2 linked regions of the Struthio camelus genome follow. The protein of the gene in region 2 interacts with the protein of the main gene of each other region in a pairwise test. Links are inferred from orthologs where the notes say so. Each region holds a gene or a part of one and is shown on either strand. Other genes may lie near its edges. The genes, in order: PRDX1 and GAPDH.

What was found.
Region 1: the proteins of GAPDH (region 2) and PRDX1 interact in a two-hybrid assay, tested with the Homo sapiens proteins (2 studies listed by BioGRID and IntAct, with this or other methods). The link is inferred for Struthio camelus from reciprocal best matches to the Homo sapiens genes GAPDH and PRDX1.

Annotation. Positions count from the first base shown.
Region 1 is NC_090949.1:27,416,683-27,426,798, forward strand, and holds the start of PRDX1 (peroxiredoxin-1), read right to left. Parts: upstream 4,416-10,116; 5' UTR 4,279-4,415; intron 1,253-4,278; exon of another isoform or gene 1,204-1,252; 5' UTR 1,193-1,203; coding exon 1,087-1,192; intron 41-1,086; coding exon 1-40. UniProt on the Homo sapiens protein: Thiol-specific peroxidase that catalyzes the reduction of hydrogen peroxide and organic hydroperoxides to water and alcohols, respectively.
Region 2 is NC_090942.1:90,955,760-90,964,936, forward strand, and holds the start of GAPDH (glyceraldehyde-3-phosphate dehydrogenase), read right to left. Parts: upstream 4,131-9,177; 5' UTR 3,941-4,130; intron 3,686-3,940; 5' UTR 3,662-3,685; coding exon 3,639-3,661; intron 3,007-3,638; coding exon 2,907-3,006; intron 2,593-2,906; coding exon 2,486-2,592; intron 2,399-2,485; coding exon 2,308-2,398; intron 2,121-2,307; coding exon 2,005-2,120; intron 1,889-2,004; coding exon 1,807-1,888; intron 1,591-1,806; coding exon 1,439-1,590; intron 1,309-1,438; coding exon 1,230-1,308; intron 945-1,229; coding exon 861-944; intron 709-860; coding exon 611-708; intron 238-610; coding exon 168-237; 3' UTR 1-167. UniProt on the Homo sapiens protein: Has both glyceraldehyde-3-phosphate dehydrogenase and nitrosylase activities, thereby playing a role in glycolysis and nuclear functions, respectively.

The sequences.
Region 1 (10,116 bases), on a different chromosome or scaffold from region 2:
GTGAAGTCCAGAGGGTAGAAGAAGAACACAACATATTTTCCTAAAAAAAGGAAGTAGTGTCACCAGTTCATCTTTTTACCTTAGGCTTTAACAGTTGTCATATTGACTAGCATAAATATTCGATAGCCACTGAGGAGAAGGAGCTAGATACAACAATACCTTTAATGATTAAAGGGTGAACTGCAGGTGCCCGTGTGAAGCTTGCTGTATAGGTAGCAAGCCCTACAAAGCACATAGGGGATTTTCATTTCAGCCAAATACCACTTGCAACTCTGTCCAAGGCTATCCTACAGCTAAAGGATAATATAAAACTCAAGTGAGGTCTGCTGAACTGGATGTTAACATTTAACAAGGGAACATCCATCTCAGGGGTCTAATCCCCCAGGCCTGCTCAGAGTACACCTAGTACCTACACCAGGAGACCCTGCAGTTGATTACTTACAGAATGCAGGATGCCATGTGCCTGAAAGGACAGAGGCCAAGAGACATTTCAACTGTTCAGGTGACTAGTCTACACCTAATAACTGCCTTCACACCACCTGAGAGCAAGGAACCTTCAGCTAGAGGTGCCTCTTTCTACATTTATCTGCATCAGCACTTGATTACTTAAGCCTTTCACTTGTATTTAAATGAGCTTTTTCTGCAAGGCAGACATTTTTGTCGTACTCTAGAGAAAGGAATATGATTGGTTAGCTGAAAGGGCACACTTCCCACTGCCAGAAAACCCATAAGAGACAAGATATTGTTATTCCACACAACACTGGAGATAGTGCATCTTCTTAATCATATTACAAAAAAGCCAGATAAGCCTGATGCAGCATTACGGTTTAAGGGAATTTTATGTTGATTAGCAGGAATTATAGTTGGGATATTTGGCCATGCTGTTAACAGCCTCCCTACAGCTTCCTAAGCTTTCTCCAGCCATCACTCAACAGAATCACTGCACAAGTTATTACATACTTCAGTCTACCACCAGTGTTCACCATTACTTTGGAACGGAATTAAAGCTGTCTTACTTAAGACGCCCTCCCCACCTTCAAACGCAAGATAGTGTATTTGTGTAATTAGAGAAGCAGATCAGCTTACCTTTATAATCAGAGAGTTTGATGTCTTTGAATTGTCCATCTGGCATTACAGCCGTGGCAGTAAAGTCAGGGGCTGGTTTTCCAATGAATGCCTTTCCTGAAGACATCTTGATTTGGTCTAGAACAGAGTTGTAACTGGCACAGTTAAGATAGCGCTATGTTTGTGCCTAAAAGCAAATAGTCAAAGCATCTTATCAATTTAGAACAAGTATCAACAGGGACAGTGTATCAGCAGTTGGTCTTGCAACGCAGGGCCCAAGAGCAAGATTAGTTTCTTGGGTAGTCCAGTCAAAGCAACGTGTTTTTAATCTCAAGAAGCAATGCAGTCAGATAAATATGTAGGTATCCAGACCAAGCTATTAACTAAATTGCTAACTATACAAGATTTATAGATCATTACTCTCCTAAGCAAGTAACAGTAATTATCTCTGACCAGATAACAGCTCAGAGTCTGCTAAAGAACTAGAGTTCTAGAGCATTCGATAACACTTCCAGTTTCACTTTGAACAAGTTAAATTCAAAAAATTAGACTTAAGTGAGGAGACCCTTGTTCAGGTTTACAAGGGAAGTTGAGACCTTGAATTTTATCTTCCTATTGATTCCGGAACAAAAGAACATTTGTTAACCTCCCAAGAACAATACCCTATAACTACACTGCAGCCTTTAAAAAAAATAAATTTTATTTGCAACTGGAAGACTCACAGGACACTTGGGAATAACGTTTTATGTTGACAGTTGACAATTAAAGTTGTACCAAGTCTTAAACTAGTAAGGCCAGGGTTTAGGTGTTTTCTTTTTTTCCCCCTGTTTATTTCAAGTCTCCCACTAAAGAGGGGGGCATAAGGACAAAAACTGTACTTCAAGTTGCCTGCCTTAAATGCTATTGCCACACATTGTACCAGGTCTTGTACAGTGTTTCTTTTGCTCTGTCAGTCTGGGAATACAGTACTTGTGTATCTATCACCTTAGAATTCCAGTTACTTCAGAAGTGTAATCTTTCAGAGATAACACTTGTGACCCTTACTTCTTCAGCTCACAGAAACGTTGTGCAGTTAATTCACCTAGTTAGTGGTTATAAACATCTAGTTGACTTGGAGACACTAGCCTCTGAAAGGTTAATACGAGTCTCACGTTGCAAGTGAAAGTAGAGATTTCAAGGATCCTTCTAGGTCTTGCTGGCAAGGCACAAAGTCTGTTTTTAAGCAGCTCCAGCACACCTCATTTCTTGGCTCCTTCTCCTTTGGCAGCCACATTCCTCCTAAAGGACTAGTCCAGAAGTCATAAGCCTTTAGTTTTCAACTCCAGTTTAAACTGCCCAGTTTAGCCTTTTTACTAGCACTGTTTTTATCTTTGAAAGGTTTTCTTGCATATCCTCACAGTATATAGTAATCAGCTATCTCTCAGCCTTCACCCTTTTAACCCCCTCCTGCAACAAGCTCTTCACCCCCTTGTTCATCCAGGCAGTTCAACTGCAGCACACTGAGCAAGTCTGATGAATCAAGGGCACCGAAACCATACTACAGCATGTTTGTGGGATCCTACTGAAAAGGTGGTCTAGTAGACAGATATTAATACTTCTGCTGTACATCTAATGTAACCATGAATGCAGATGCAATTCTAGGACTACAGTTCTGGAGGGTCAGGGGGGATAGACAGTCATTGCACAGTATTTTCTTTGAGATGCCTCCAACTAGTGAGTTTTATCTTATAAGCAATAGCTGTTTAGTCTGGAGTGCATGACCCTGCATTGTATATATCACCAAATTCCATTTTTTCCTATTACTCAAGCTCAAGGTCATCCACTTGCTCAGTAGTATGCTAGTCCTCCTCTATCTGTCCCATCAGCAAGTCCCCTGGAATGGTTTACTAGGGATTCAATGTCCAATAACAAAAGCTGTCAAACTTGCTCTTTGATACTGCCCCTCTCTAAGCTACAAGATGTTATCCCCCTTTCATATAACACAGTAAGGTGTTCAGTGTCAGCTTAGGAGACATAGCTGCGCCGTACTGCAAGAGAGCCATCTGCTTTCTTTGGAGCACCCGCTGCAACCTGCCAACATCTCTGCTTTTCTATGCAGGGTTAGTACGTGTTCTCACATGTTCTGCTTGGACTTAACCACAGCGTTTCCTAACCCACGGGGGAACAGGACACAGATTCAGTACTCTATTTCCTTTCCTCCTAGAGAAAAAGGATATAAACACTACAAATCAAGTACAGTTTAATCAGGTCAGAATATCTTTTAGCAGTCATAACTGCACACAGCCTCAATTATCTCCAAATGGCAGTTATAATAAACTAGTCCAGAACTCTAACCAGAAATTCATTGCTTTACAGTATTTGAACCATAGCAGAAGGACACTTCAAAACACACCATCCAGCCTTCCCCTTCACTACCTTCAGATTGCCACAAAAGTGTGGTTAAGTCACTGAGCTGCGGTCAGAAATTAAGAGTGATATTGTCACAGACCTCCTCGGTTCAGATATACCACAGCCAGGTATACACAGACCACTAAACTTATTTTGCTGAAAAAGTTCAGAAGGAAACCCTAAGCAGTCACCGGCACAAAGGTCACTAAATTGCTCTGTGACAAAGGACTGCAGCCCCCTGCACGCCCACACAGCAAACTCCTTCAACCCAGCCACACAGCCCCTTCTTTAAGCTTCAAGATCAGAGGCCTACGTGCTTGTGGATCACACCACTGTTATGCGAAGCTTTCAGGACACCAGGGCGGCGGGTGGGCTGCAAGGCCGCCCGCGGGCTGCACCGCTCCGCGCTGCTGCCGGAGCCGCTCCCCGCGGGCGCGCCCCAGCCCGGCTGCGCGCATCACCCTGCGAGCCCTCGCCAGCAAGCAGCGGGGAGAAAGCAGATAACGGCGAGCGCCTAAGAAAGGGTTAACAACCTCCCCTTCTCTCTCCCCACCCCCACAAAAACGAGAGAGACCGAGAGAAAAAACCACAGCGGGAGAAGGTCGGACCCCTCCTCGGGGGGGAAAGGCGGCAGAGAGCGAGAGCTCACCCTGCACCGCCTCCGCGCCCCTCTTTTGCGACCCCAACCGCGCAGAGCGGAAAGCAAAATCCGGGGGGGGGGAACAAACAAAAAAATATAACTCGCCGAACAATCCAGCATACCGCACCCGTTGCCCCGCGGCAGGTGCGCACCCTCCCCCCCCCCCCCCCCACCCGGGCGCTTACACAAAAGGGCGAGCGGCTCGCAGCTCCCTCCTCCACACGCCTGCAGGAAGCTCCGCGCTGCCGCAGCCCCCGCCGCGCCGCCGCCTTTATAGCCGCCCCGCTCTCGCGAGGACACGGCGCGGCGCGGGGGGCCCGGCCGCCGCCCGCCCGGGCCGCCCCGTGCAAGGGCAGCATGACTTGGCACATTCGGGCGAGCGCCTTGCTCGATAGCGAGCTGCCGGCCGCTTATCGCAACGGAGATGCTGCCCTGGCTGTTACAAGCGGCAAGAGAATTTGAATAAATGGAGCTGTTTGTACGGATAGCGTCCCGGGAGGTGGCACGAAAACATCCAGTGCAATAGTCATAAACAGTTAGTGGGAAGGTGGTTTGAATGGCTCTTTGCAAGAAGAAGCTTTTTTTTTTTTTTAATGCCTTAATATGAACAAGGTATAATTAGTTAAAAGTCAGTAGCCAAAAAAAGAGACAGAGGACGCACTCGATTTTGAATATCCAGATGGATATGACTAGTGTGCCATTTAGGTGGATGGGAGTTTTGCCATTGACTTTAATATCAATAAAATCAGACTTTCTATTAGCCAAACAATGTACACGCTCAGAAATTATTGCAGAGGGGGAGGTTTCACCTCCCTTTCTATTATAAACTGCCTCTTCAACCTGATACTAATTCTTAAGGCTTTCATTGATTCCATCAGTGGGAAGCCTGGTGCAAGCCATGTAAGTCAGGAATAAAGCCAAAAATTAAATTAAGCATGGTCTCAGAGCTTCGGGGTGCAGGATGAAAACTCTCGGAAGAGGCATTTATTCACTTCAAGGCAGCCTTGTATCCTTCCCAGAGCAAATCTACTCTGAGACATTTAGCCTGAGTGAATTCCCACACGCATTGAGTTTGGATCTAAGACTGAACTGAAACCTTGTATTTTTGACTGAGGTACAAAATTTGAATGTTAATATTTAAGTTTTATTAAACAGGTAGTGTTAAAGGCTATAAAGGGCATATCAACAACAAAATGGCTTGCTGTAGTCAGAAGTGATAAACTTGTTTACCAACTGACTTTTACTCCTTGTCTATTTCACAAAGTCATGTTCCTTATACCTGTTAAAACATGATTACGAATTGTACTGTGGAGAAAACCACAAAGGATTAACAAATTTTGAATGTTAAACAATCTAATCTACACTACTGTGTAGTGTTGCTCAGTGACCATACCTCCTGTGGTGATTCACCCAGGAGATGACTGGTTTTAATACTGGATGAAATTACTCTTTGATATGTAAAAAGCAACATAACCTGTATATGTATATTAAAAAATATATGCATTCGCCTTAATGCAAAGATGTTATCTACTGGGATCTCTATTGTTACAACACACTTAATCTTTTATAGAAGAGAAATGAAACTTTCTTAATGTGCCTCAGTCAATGTTAGGACAACTGAGGTCTATAAATTGAGGAATGTATATACCTACCTATCAACTCAGGCCATGATCCCCGGCAACAGGTTAACCTCAGAAACATCAGGCAGTCTGCACATGCAGAAAGCCCCCTGAATCCTGAACATAATGAATTTATTGTATATGTGCAGTACCCTCAGGGGCGTAGTAAGAGAAAAATCCTGACCTTTTGTGGACAGTTGAATATAATATAGGCAAAAAAGTCTAATGACTGAAATATTCTCAAGCCCCTGGGCATATATGCCTAAGCAGTTGGTGCACACTGGATTTCATGAAAACGATTATACATAATTAAATATATAGGGCACATATTTGCTTTTTCTTCTTTAGTTCAAATGAAGACTGTGTTTCTAGGTTAAAATGTCCATGTCACCTTTCCCTTCCCTACATACCTGTTTTTAAATAATTTTTATGACTGTATGCTTGGATGATCACTTCCTTTTGACGACAAAAGGATTTTATCTTCTTTCCCTTCTCTCTTTTACTCTCTCTATATTATTGGAGGCTGAGGTTTGTTAAAGTTTTATTACTTAGCATTCATATAATTCAAGCATCTTCCACAGTGTTAAGACTGTTATTTTCAAATGATCTGTGATTGGCAGTGTCTTCCTAAAAGCAAACCAAACCCAGCGCTCTCCCTCCCCTTTATTCTCTCCTCCTTCCCAGTTTTGTATTTCCCGCCATGTTACTTTTTGTTGCATTTTCCTTGCACTCTCTTTCCGTTTTCCTGCATTTTGCCTAAACAGGCTGCACCACAGAAAAATCTGGTCATGTGACTGCCCAAGAGCATAATTAACCTTTGTTCCTTTAAGTCTCTGGGATGGTTTAGGTCAGAACAACAATAAAAGAATCTGCAGCAGAGTGATCTTTCCGAAAGGAAATAACATCCTCTTCAAAGCTCTGTTAGATATGTATTTTGCTTGTATTTCTGATAGGATCTTACTGTACTTTTCAGATTCTCAAAGTTTATATATTACTTATAAGAATGGAAGCTTGGAGTAAAACTCAAAACTGGTTGTAATTGTCTTTAGTTGTGGTTAAGTACAGAGTGCAGTACACCTAGGGATGCTCTTCTCTCAGTTACAGGCCAAATTCTGCTCCTGTTCAAGCCAATAGAAGTTGTGTCTTTGACTTAGCAAGACTGTACGTACTCAGGACTAATGATTCTAAATTAAATTCAGTCATGTTTTTAATGTAGTTAAACCTTACTCTCAACCTTCTTGCACAAATAAGGAAATGCACTCTTGTGCACCTGCATTAAAAGGTGCCCATGCCCCCTCAGGAACTACCACTTCTTTCTCTTTGTTGCACCTTTTAGCAAAAAAGCTAAAGCAAAATGAATTTTACCAGCCTTGCACATTCCCTGGATTCCTAATATTTAGGATTGCACATTAAAACAGAGGAAAAATTCTGTCTTCCTACCAGCTAAGGTACCTAATCCTGATGGTTATGTTTTGTTTGCAATTTCCCTTTGTGTGCTGCAGACTATGAGATGCATTACTCAACGTGCTGTGAAGGGGAGAGTCTGAGCAGTTTGACTTTCCTGCTGGGAACCGAACAGACAGCAGAGGAAAAATAAACAGAGCAAAGCTGGAGAATTAACCGAGAGGAGGCTGGCACCGATGGCATGGCAGGCTGGCAGCCAGGCCCGCGAGGCCTCGCAGCGGGACACGGCAGCCGGCTTCAAAACACATGCCAGCAGGGGAGGCCTGCAAGAGCCCCTTGCCACGGCAGAGGCAAACTCCTCCCTTCCTAGCAGCGACACTCATTGCCCGATTTGGGGGAGGGGGGTCCTTTTCTTGAAAGGAACTATCTTGCGTTTTTTAGGCTGGGTGACATGCTTTGCACAGTACAAGCAACCTCCCCTTCCCCGCCGCCACGAAAAGCGCACGTTGCCGAGGGCGGGCCGGGGAGACGGTTTGCAAAGCAGCGCGGAAGGCCGAACAGCCGCGCCTGCTCGCTGCTCCCCGCGCAGGGCGGCGGGGGCTGGCCCGGCTGCCGCCTGGCAGGTCGCGGCCGGAAACGGAAGCGGCGGGCAGCGGCGGCGGCGGTGCCGGCACGGGCGGGCGGGCGGCAGCGGTGCGAGGGAGCGAGGGACCGAGCGAGCGGCGGGTGAGTGCGGCTGCGGGCGCGCAGGGCCGCCGCGGCGCCCCGTGTCCGTGTCCGTCTGCGCCGCCCTGCTGCGGGCGCCGCCGGAGCTCGGGGAGGGATGAGGAGGCGCCCAGGCGTGGGGAGCTGGTACCCGAACTGCCGGGCAAAGGCGATCGCGTACCGGGGCTTCTGTGTTTTCTTCCACTTTTGTTTTGTTTTGGTTTGTTTTTTTTTTTTTGAAGGTGGAAGACTCGTTACTTTGGATTAAAAATGAGCTTTATCTATAGGCTGATAAACTAATGTAGGTTACACTTTTCTGGTTATTAATAACTACTCCCAGTCAGGCTACCTACGTGGCTTTTGAATCACTCTGGGCTTTACTCCTCTAGATGAGTGTGGGAACAGGAGAGGCAAGTGTTGTTAATCTAAACCCACATTTTACTTGTTCAGAATTGGTGTGCTTTTATATTTATTTTTGTTCTTAGTGTTACCAAAAAAAAAAAAGCTTCCCACTTCTTACTGATCCAAGTAGTGATGATGAGTGGACACTGTAGTTTCCTTACATCCTCTTGTTAGGAGAAGAGTCTGAGTGGAAAGTATTAATTGTTCTTCTAGAGTGTCTAGTTCTGGAACTTTTCCATTCTTCCAGAGTCTCTACTTCTGCTATCTCTGCGATGTTAATGTACAACACTGTTACATGAAGTGAAATGATTCTTTGCAAATGTGCTGATGCCAGTTACTGATTAAACACATGTACCTTGTCTTCTGGGCTGAAGTGCTACGTTTAGGATGGTTGTGTAAGATGTTTGTGTGAAGTGTGGTAGTTTGTATGTTATTTGTGTTATGGGCCAAGGTGAATCAAAAAGTTTCTAGTTGCATTGCATGATTTGAGGAGATGCTTTTATTTAGGTGGTTACATCCAGGTAAAAATATGAGTGTCCACTTGTGTGCACTGCCTGCAAAACAGCTACGCTGATTCAGGGAATGTTGTTCACATGTTCAGTGTCGCGTTCTGCTTCTCTGACTTCTTACCTCAAATAACCCATGTGCACCCACAATCTAATTAACAGTGACTGCCTTCAACACCAACATATTGACTTAATGCATCTCAGTGCAGATCCCAAACCACTAATTCATGTTGAACTACTCTGTCTCTTTGTAAAACAAGCGTGCTGTTACGTGTCTATGTAGCGTAAATCTACCAAAATATGCCCTGAGAAGCTAAGCGTGAAATTAAAAATACAAACTTTCTGTGTTACCAAATCTGTCAGTAAGGACTGCCTGTATGAGGAAGGTGATCACAATGTTGTGGAAAAGGCAGAGCTATTTTGGGGTAGTGTGCTGTGTGAATGCTTTACTTGGAAGACATACATTCCTCCTACATAGATGATCTGAAAACCAGCGTTGCATGCTTCCGCTCTTGTGAATGTTATCTGTTTGAAAATACAAAACTAGTTTGGGCATTGCTGAACTTGGGAAACAACTTCCTCAGCTTCTGCTGAAATAGGCTAGCTGGCTCTGGAACACATCCTGAATGTGGTTTCTTTTTAATAATTTCACAAGATGTACTGTGAGGATGTTGGAATACACTGCAAAACCTTCCTTTTTGATTAAAAAGCTTTTCCACTGTAAGCAGATTGCTGGGTGCAACAGCTATAACACCAGCAATTGAAAACCGAACAAAGGTTCCAGTAGGATCTTCTATTGAATTTCACATGGGAAACGCTTGGCTATCATAGTATTAAGCGTGAGAGAGAAGCCCAGGCTCAAAACGGCTATTTGCTTTGCATCCTTTTTTGCCATTCTCCCTTTAGCAAGAAAAGAATGCTGCTGCTCTGTGAATTTGTGCTAAATCAGTGTATGACCCTTTCTACAATGGCAATAATAGCTGTTACGTTGTCTGTACTCGAAACGTTCCATGCAAGAGTTGAGCTCTTACTCTCTAATTTTCTGCAGAAAAAAGGTTCAGTACACGTACATGGTTTCAGTGATATGGGAACAGACAATCTTTCATCTTTAAAAAAAATAGTATCCCTTTCTGATCGAGTAGGAAGACAGGGAAGAGCAGGAAGACAGAAAGTTATTCTGGGATTCAAAATGCCCAAATCTGTGTAAGGACCTACTGCGTTTTAGCTCTATTTTTCGCACTGCTATGTCACAGAGTGATCAAAAACCCCATAAATTATGTATCCACCAGTTTTGTGTGATCTGCCTACTGAGATTTATTTTCTGGTGTCCACTGTTGAAAGTGGCTCCGTTTTGCCCTCCCCTAACGATCAAAAAACCCCCCACTAA
Region 2 (9,177 bases):
CCCCCAGGCTCAGGGGCAAGTTGGAGAAGTGGGGGAGGCAGAAGGGAACAGAACTGGCCTCTCACTGCAGGCTGCAGAGCTAAGTGGTGGTGAAAAGGGCAGGGTCTCTAGCAAAGGAGAGTCCTGCTTCCCTAGGCAGCAGGGGGGGGGTGTCTCGTGTGTTTGGCTCACTCCTTGGAAGCCATGTGGACCATCAAGTCCACAACACGGTTGCTGTATCCATACTCATTGTCATACCTGGAGGCAGAAACACAAGAGCTGAGCTTTCTGGACTGTTTCTTGCATCACACCATCCTATATAAGAGTACTGCTCCTCTACCGCGGCTCAGAAAAGGGAGGCAGAAGGGCTATTTCCCGATACAGAAAACAAGCAGCACCCCATCCACTCTCCCGTAAGGGAAGGAAAAGGCTGCAGTTGTCAGATATGAAGCAACATCACTCCTAAGACTTTTAGGTGTTGGAGCCACCCCACTCAGCAGCAGTAGATTTATCAGTATACAATGCCAGCTGGTGGTGGTGAACAGAACAAAAAACCTGGGACAACTGCCAGCTCCCACCCTCCCACCAAGAGCTCAAGTGCTCCCTTCCACACCCCCCAGGCTGTGCATACCAGGAAACCAACTTCACGAAGTGATCATTCAGTGCAATGCCAGCACCTGCATCAAAGGTGGAGGAATGGCTGTCACCATTGAAGTCACAGGAGACAACCTGGAAGAGAGGAGATTCTAACTCAGTCCTCCACCCCACAGATGGAGGCAGCCTGACCCAGGAGTGCCATAAGCAGAATCCCAGCAAGGCAGCTCCCAGCAGGAAGACGAGAGTGCTACCAACCACAGGCTGAGACACTGAAAGCTGTTTACCTGGTCCTCTGTGTATGCCAGGATGCCCTTCAAGGGCCCATCAGCAGCAGCCTTCACTACCCTCTTAATGTCATCATACTTGGCCTGAGAATAGAGACAACATTAAGAGGGTCAGATCCCAATTCACACAAAATTGTCAGCTGGGCCAGGGAAGGGGGTAGAGAGGAATGACACAGCTACAGCCCAGATACTGGGAGCAGCACAGCAGGTGCTATTCTTGCCAAGACCAAGTATTCCTGGTCATCACCAGGGCTGAGTGGGAAGAGTGTGGGAGGAAGACACAGATGTAGAGGGGGCAATTCTAGATAAGAGGAATTTGGAGGAAGCAGGAGCAGGTTTGGAGGTTAAGGCCTTCCCCACAACACTCACTGGTTTTTCCAGACGGCAGGTCAGGTCCACAACAGAGACATTTGGGGTTGGCACACGGAAAGCCATTCCAGTAAGTTTCCTGTCAGAGAGGTAAGAGTCAGAACAGCAGTCAGCACCCCTCTGCCAGCCTTCTATTCCGCTAGGAATGGGCCAGAGCCAGCCAGGCACTGTCTACCTCCTTCCGACACCTGAGAAGGGCTGACACTCACCCATTGAGCTCAGGGATGACCTTTCCTACAGCCTTAGCAGCCCCAGTGGATGCTGGGATAATGTTCTGGGCAGCACCTCTGCCATCCCTCCACTGCTTCCCAGAGGGGCCATCCACTGTCTTCTGTGTGGCTGTGATGGCATGGACAGTGGTCTTGGGGAAGAGAGCACAGGAATAAGAACACAGCCAATAACTTTCAAAAAACATCCTGAATGCTTAACTCCCCATCCCAAGGAACACAGGGAGGCTAGCCCTCTTACTGTGTGAGTTTACACCCCTCACAAACACAGAGCCCGTGGACAGTTACTTCTCTTCTCACATGAAGAAACGTGGGGATAGGACACACTAAGCAGCAGGCTTTAGACCTACCATAAGACCCTCCACGATGCCAAAGTTGTCATGGATGACCTTGGCCAAGGGCGCCAAGCAGTTGGTGGTGCAAGAGGCATTGCTGAGGAAAAGAGAAAGACACACATCAACCAGAGGCAGTATACCTACCCATGAAAGATGAGACCCCATGCAGCTGGTGAAAGTTCCAGGCCAGAGAGCATCCTCTTCTCTCCTTACCTGACAATTTTCAGCGACTTGTCATACTTGTCATGATTGACACCCATCACAAACATGGGAGCATCAGCTGAGGGGGCAGAGATGATAACACGCTTAGCGCCACCCTTCAGGTGAGCCTGTGAGAAGAGAAGGAGATCAGTTAACCCAGAATACCCCAACAGCTTGGAGAGCAAGATACTTCCTCAGACACCCTCTTCTCCCTCCCAGCCATCTCCTCCACATCTTGAACTCTGTACATGGTGATGTGCCCCACAGGTAGGAGCAGCAAGCGTCCTTTCTCCCACATGCCACTGGCCTACTCACGCTAGCCTTCTCTGTAGTGGTGAAGACACCAGTGGACTCCACAACGTATTCAGCACCAGCTTCTCCCCACTTGATGTTGCTGGGGTCACGCCTGAGGAGGGACAAAATCATAAGAGTTGCTCTGTGAGAGATCTGTTTTCACCCTTCCAAGGGATGAGAGGGAGAAAGAGATACTTACTCCTGGAAGATGGTGATGGGGTTCCCATTAATCACAAGTTTCCCATTCTCAGCCTTGACAGTGCCCCGGAAGTGACCATGAGTAGAGTCATATTTGAACATGTAAACCTAGCAAGGAGAGAGAAGGGGGCGGGGGGGGGGGGGGGAAGAGGTCAGGCACCCTAGCTGCAACCCCCCATCCCTTGCTCTTGCAATCACAGATCCCAGAGTTCTCCAGTGAGCTGATCCAACTGCTGCTCTGTACTCGGCTCCACCAAATCTGCTGGGCCCACAACCCTACGCTTTGTCTCTCTCATTCCACCCACAGCCCCACACCTGACATCCATGGGGAGCTGCCAGAACAGAGCTAGGGGAGTCCACTGCCCCACTGCAAGAGGCAAACTGCATAGAAGGCCTGGAGGAGACACCACGAGGCAACTCACCATGTAGTTCAGATCAATGAAGGGATCGTTGATGGCCACCACTTGAACTTTGCCAGAGAGGATGGCAGCCCTGGTGACCAGGCGGCCAATGCGGCCAAATCTGGGGAGAGAGATGCACAGATAAGTAGGAGGAGCAAGGAGCCTGGCTGGCTGGGCAAGGCAGGGCATAACAGTCCATGGCTTTCCCTCTGGGACATCGGCTGCTCCCTGCCCAGAGGGGCAGAAGGGAGCCCATCAGCTGCGTTCAAAGGCCAAGGAGCCCCAATTGAAGATTAAGAGCGACCCCTGCTTGGGGCAGCCGCGCAGGAAAGGTCAGGCGCTAAATTTACTGCAGGATCCGGTTACTCCTCACAGCACGGTGGGAGAAGGTCACATTCCCCAGGGCCCCCGGGGCTCCTGCGACACACGATCTCCCTGGCATCCTTCCGACGGGGGTCACCAGCCCGGCCCCGAGCGGTGGCACCCGGCAGGGCCGGGCAGGACAAGGCAAGGCGAGCCGGGCCGCGGGCGCTCGCCGCGCAGGGTGACTCAGCCCGACTCGGCCGGGGGGGAAAAGGGGGAAGTGACTCAGTGCCCCGCCCTCGCCGGGGCCGCTACCCCAGGGGGGACGAGTTGCCCCGCGGCGCGGCGCGCAACGGCTCATCCGCGCGTCCTTGGCGCCACCTTGCGCCTCCCCCGCGCCCGCCCACCCGCCCGCTCCTCTCCCCTCCCCCCCCAACCCCGCACACTCACCCGTTGATTCCGACTTTCACCATCTCGCCTCTCAGGGATGTTGGTGCCTGCGGGGAGAGAGCGGCGCTGAGAGGCGCGCAGAGCGGGGCGATCCGCCCCGGGGGAAGGGAATCTTCCCCCCCCCCCCCCCGCCATCTTGCCGCCTTTGTGCCCGGGGGCGCCCAGCCGCCATGCGCCCCCCCCCCCAAAGCTTCCCTGCTCCCGCCCCACGGCAGCGCAGCCCCCCCCCCACCCAGAAACAGGACTGCCCGCCCGCCCGCCGCCTTTCCGTCTCCCCCCCTCCCATCCCCCAGCCCCCTTACCTGCCGCCTCCGACCCGGCCCTGACGGACAGTGAGAAGGTGGCGCCGCGCCGCGCCGCCGCTTTTTATAGCGGCGGAGGGGAAATGGCGGGTCCCGCCCCGTCGGGCCGGCGCCGAATGGGAGTGCGGGGGCCGGGCCGGGCTACGTGCGCTGGGGGGCTGCGGCAGCGGCGGCGCCCCCCTCCCCCCCCACCGGGCCGCGGGCAAAGGTCCCCCCAGAGGGGCCCCCGCCGCCCCCTCGGGGCCCGGGGCTGCGCTGCGCTGGGGGGGTGCAGCGCTCCTCGGGGGAGGGAGGATTGCAGTGGGGTGGGGGGGGACCGCAGTGCTCTGCCCCTTGCCAGCGCTGAGGGGCCTCTGCGCTGTGCGATGTTGGGGCGGGGGGAGGGAGGCCAGGGCATGGCTGGCCCCAGGGGGAAGCGGGGCTGTCGGGGTGCGTGGGTTGCGCTCAGCGCCGCACACCTGAGCTGGGGGGCCCGGCACCCCCCTGGCAGGGCGCGCGCGGCCCCTCCGGCTGCCGCCTGCCCGAGCCCCGCGGCTTGCGAAGGGAGGCCACGCGGCCGCAGCCCCCCGTTCGGGGAGGTTAGGAAGGAGCCTGGTGTCGGGCTCCGGCCTCTCGCTAGCCGGGGGCTGCTTCTGCCAGGCGCGTGTGCGGCCACGCGTGCCTTGCTGGGCCTTGCCCAGCCGCCGCGCGACATGGTGGGCGCCGCTTTCCTTGGCGGCCCGGCAACAAGGGGGGAGGCCACAGCGTGCGCCGCTCTCTGCACCCCTTTGGCCCCCCCGGCCCCGGTGGGGGCGGGAAGGGCTGCACTGTTGCCGGGGCCATCCCGAGGGCGCAGCAGGTTGCCCAGCCCAGCCCCCCTCTTCCCCACATGTCGCTGGGGGGAAGCGGGGCCGTGCTGCCCTTGGCCTGCTGCTCTCGGGGGGGGGGGGCTGCTGTTTTGCCCCCGCTCTTGCCAGGGCCCCGAGCTGCCCCACGCTGCGCTAGCCAGGCGCGCTGTGAGCGCGCCTGCTGACCCAGCCTCCCCCCGGCCGCCGGCCAAGGCCTCGACATGCTGCGCCGAGCGGCGTGAGCACCATGTTAATGAGGAACCGGGGAGGCTGCTACTCGCGGGACGTGACTGCGGAAATCCTGCCTACCACCCCGCGCTGCCGGCTCGCATCCACGCTGTCGGGGCGCGTTCATTGGCTGGGGGCAGGCCAGGGCCTGGGCCGGGCGCCGGTGAGGAGAGAGTGCTCCTCGCATGATGGCCGTCCCTGCCCTGCATGCCTGCCGGCTGCTCCGGGGCAAGGCCGGGATCCCGCCGGCTCTGCGCTGAGACCTAGAGCATGTCTCAAAGCGGCTGTTCCCTGGGGAGGGAGCTCTGAGCATGCACGCGCCCGGCTTAGGCATGCAGGGAGAGGAGCGCGTGGGAATACGGGAGATGTGCAGCTGGGCCCGGATAGGGCAAGGCAGAGGGATGAAACCTTCCCCCGTTGTAGCTCGGCTGGCCAGGGCTTTAGGGTCAGCCGAGTGGGATCCCTGAGGATGGGAAGGACGGAGCGGGCTCGGGGAGCAAAGCAGATACCGGGGGGGGGGGGGTCTGGAGATGGGTCACCCAGCTCAGACGTAATCCAACGCTCCTTATCCTGCTGCTATTCCCGGTGCTGCCAAGGGGCAGGCAGCTAAGTTTAGCCCCAGCTGAGGTTACGACATTTTCTTAAAGGCCATGTGGGATGGCTCATGTGCTGCAGCGATGCAGCTGGAGGTTGCAGGGAGCCCAAAGGATCCCGTGCCTCATTCGAGGCATCGCAAATGTAGCCTGGGAAGGGCCAGAAGAGGGGTCAGGGTAACTTTTGGGGGCTGCCTTAAATTTCTGCCCAAATAGGAGGCCCACTGTTTGCTCAGCAAACATGGGTGCCGCCGAGTACTCTGTGCAGGGGGACAGAGTGCAGGTGGGATGAGCCAACGCAGCAGCTCCCAGCCCCGTGCCCCTGAGCCTGGCCGGCAACCGGGATTTCAAGGCTCCACCCTAGCTGCTTGGAGCCCGTGCTGGAAGGCAGACGGGCACCTGGCGGCCCTGGCTGCAGGGCCTGCAGGGGCAGCCGGGGGCTGAGCTCAGCTCCTGGCTGCTGGAGAGGATGGGTGTGGTACGGGTAGCTTGGCTTGGGAGAGCGGGCGGCTGCACTTCCAGCCATCTCCTACTTGCTGAATTAGGCTGAATCTGTGCACGTGGGCTTGGCAGGGGGCGCGAAAAGTGCCTAGTCATAACGGCAGGGTTTCAGTAAGGCTGTGTCTTTGCAGCCCTTTGCAGCTCTCCTTTGCAGGAAGGAGAGGCAGAAGAGGCATCTCAGACTCAGGGCTCACTGAGGTTAGCCGGAGTGATGGGAGCCGCCTGGCCGTTATATAACTGCTAGGCCCCAAGGGGACAGCCACGGGGTCGCTCACGGCACTGGCAGGCTGGAGGCGCAGGGCTGAGAAATGGCTCCCTCGGCCTGCGGTTTGCTAGCCCCCAGGGATCAGCAGCATGCACCCAAAATGGCCCCGCAGCACGTGGGGGCTGCGCCACCACTGCCACCACCGGGCCGGGGGCTGCGCCAGGTCTCGGGCTCTGCCGCCACCTCCCGGCAGCCGGCGGGTGCCAGGGCGGCGGGGAAAGGCATCGTCCCTGGCCTGCCTCTCGCTTGTCCACAAACCGGAGGCCTGACAACAGCCGAGGTCGCTGCTGCGGAGGTGGTGCTGCTGTGGGGTTTGGGCAAATGCTGCAGAGTCTGGACGAGACAAACAAACAATACAGCTCTTTTTAATTAGCAAGTCAGTTCTTAAGCACAAATGGCAGGAGAGAGAACAGCCAAGGCCTGTGAGCCCCTGCCAGCTGGGCAGCGGGACCTGCTAGCCGAGCAGAGAGGGGGGCGGCACACGCCTGGGAGGGGTCCTGGGGCTCCAGGCGGTAGCAGAGCTGGACAACCCCTGTGCTCAGCCCGCTTTGCACCACTTCATAACTTCCCTGCTGCAGCGGTCCTTCAGCCAGCAGCCTAGGGCAGGGGTTTTAGGGCTTCAGCGGTGGGCATGCCATGCTCATCCCCATTTTGTCCCAAGCAGGTTCTCCAGACGCTTCAGTCTCCTGTGCCTGTGCAAAAGCAATGCCTGTGAGCCTCGTGGCAGCGTGCAACCCACCTGCTCCCCGTTCACCACCCAGACTCCGAGGGCTGGTAGCCCAGAGGTCACTACTCTCATGTAGTAGCAGCCAAGCTCTCTGACTTTGGCCCACCAGCAGTCAGGCGGTGTCCCGCTGTGCCCCATCAGCCCCTGGGTTCAGCTTGCTTCCCTGTTGCCCAGGTCCCCCTGTTCCTGGTTCTCCCTATGGTTTATGTTCTGGAGTCCCCCCTTGCTTCTCTGCTGCCCTCGCTGCTGTCTCTCTCACCTCAGAGTTTCTCCAAGGCTAACACCCCAAACCACTGAAGGTCCCAATCCGGTCCATTTTCAGTCCAAAGCAGCCCCTGGGCATGGCCTTCCAGGCCCAATCTCCAGCCAGTGCCCACTTGCGATTGGCCAGGGTCTTGCGCCAGAGCGGGAGTCGGGCAGTTCTGGCCCCAGATGGGAGGAAAGGGAGGGTGGAGGAGAGCAACGGAGGTCCAAAGCTGGACCCTTCCTTCATGTCCTCTTCAGCCAGCATGGATTCAGAGTCCAGGGGCAGCAACTGGGAAAGAAACATCTGGGAAGGTGGGATAAACAGAGAGGAGGCAAGGGTGAGAATGGTATTGCCTGTGCTCCTGTGTCTCATTTCTCTCTCCTGGTGATAACCCAATGTGCCCAAAGCCTGCTGTCCTGCTGCCCCAAATCTTCCCTAGGATGCAGGCAGGACTTAAATGGTGTCTGTACACGAGGCATTGTGTTTGTGACGTATTCAGGCATGGGGATCCCCAAGGGAAGGGCTAGACCAGCTACTCCTACGGTCTGCAATGATTTCTCTGTCCGAAGTAGGAAGCTGGTTTAGGCCTCTGTGTGCGAGTTGCTTGCCTTGCTGTTGTCAGACAGGTCCCCCTGTACTTGGAAAGTAATTTGAGTCTTCAGTCCTTGGTCTTCTTGCTGATGCTGAGCTGCTGTTTATTCTTCCATGTGCTCAGACTGTTTTCTGGCCCTTTGTTTTCCCAGAGGGCTGGGGGGGGGGGGTGGGGGTGAATGGATCTACCCGAAATACCTGGTGCTAAAGAGGGGCAGGAATGGCAGTGTCGCAGGAGCAGGTGTGAAGAAGGGGGCTCCTCATCCACTGGGGAGTCTTTAGCCTTTCTGGGCAGGTGGAGATGTGCTGATTATAGCCCTCAATCACTGCTGGCGGCCTTTGGCTGCTGAGAGGCAAAGGTCAGGAGGTGCGCTGGGCCCAGAGGCGCTAATGACCCAGTATCTGGCAGTATTGCGCAGGGAAGCAGCCTGCAGTAGCCGTTCCATATCTGTTCCCCGCATGGACACTGACTTAAGGCTGAAGAGCCTTTGTGCGGTTCAGCTCCATCCCTTTCTGTAGCGAGTTTACTGAAGCAGACGAAGGCATCTTCAGAAAGCCTCTGCGCGATGAGTCAGAACAGAATCAGTCTTGGTTTTTTTTTTAGCTCACATCCTAAATAATTTACTGTAGCTTTTCTTCTTGAACCACATGGTCAAGGCAATGTTAGCACAAAGCATTGAGGCTCAGGGTAGGATTTGGGTAAGAGGGAGCTGGGAAGACTTGAAAGCTATAAGCAGTGTTTCTGCAGTGGGTGAGAGTAAAAGATTTACCAAAGTGAAGAAGCCCTTAGCTAGTGTCCTGATACATACATATGCAGAGGGGCTCTTGGCCCTGAAAGAGGGGCTGCAGTGGAGCAGTACTGAGCTTAGGAGAGGAAATCCCAAACTAATAGGGTGCACCCTCCCTCTGAAATGTGTCAGAACCAGGTCACTGAACATGGTGGATAGCTACCAGTTACAGTACTTGTTGAAGTTGATTGCATTTTATACTGAAATCCCTCCACATACCTGCTTGTCGTTTAATGCAAGGGGCGTGATTGTAACTTCTGATCACTGCTGTCATAGGGCTCAGTTAGTGCCATAGGGCTCAGTTAGTGCCAGTCTCTTTACAGTTAAAAGCCTCTGCAGGCAACATGGGGAGCCCCACAGTCAGCCTGCTCCCCCATACCAAAGAGCACTGAAAAGCTTTTTTTCTGTCTCCTTACCTTGAAATGCTGATGCTTCTCCAGGAGCTGAGTCATAAAGATCCAGTCAACCTA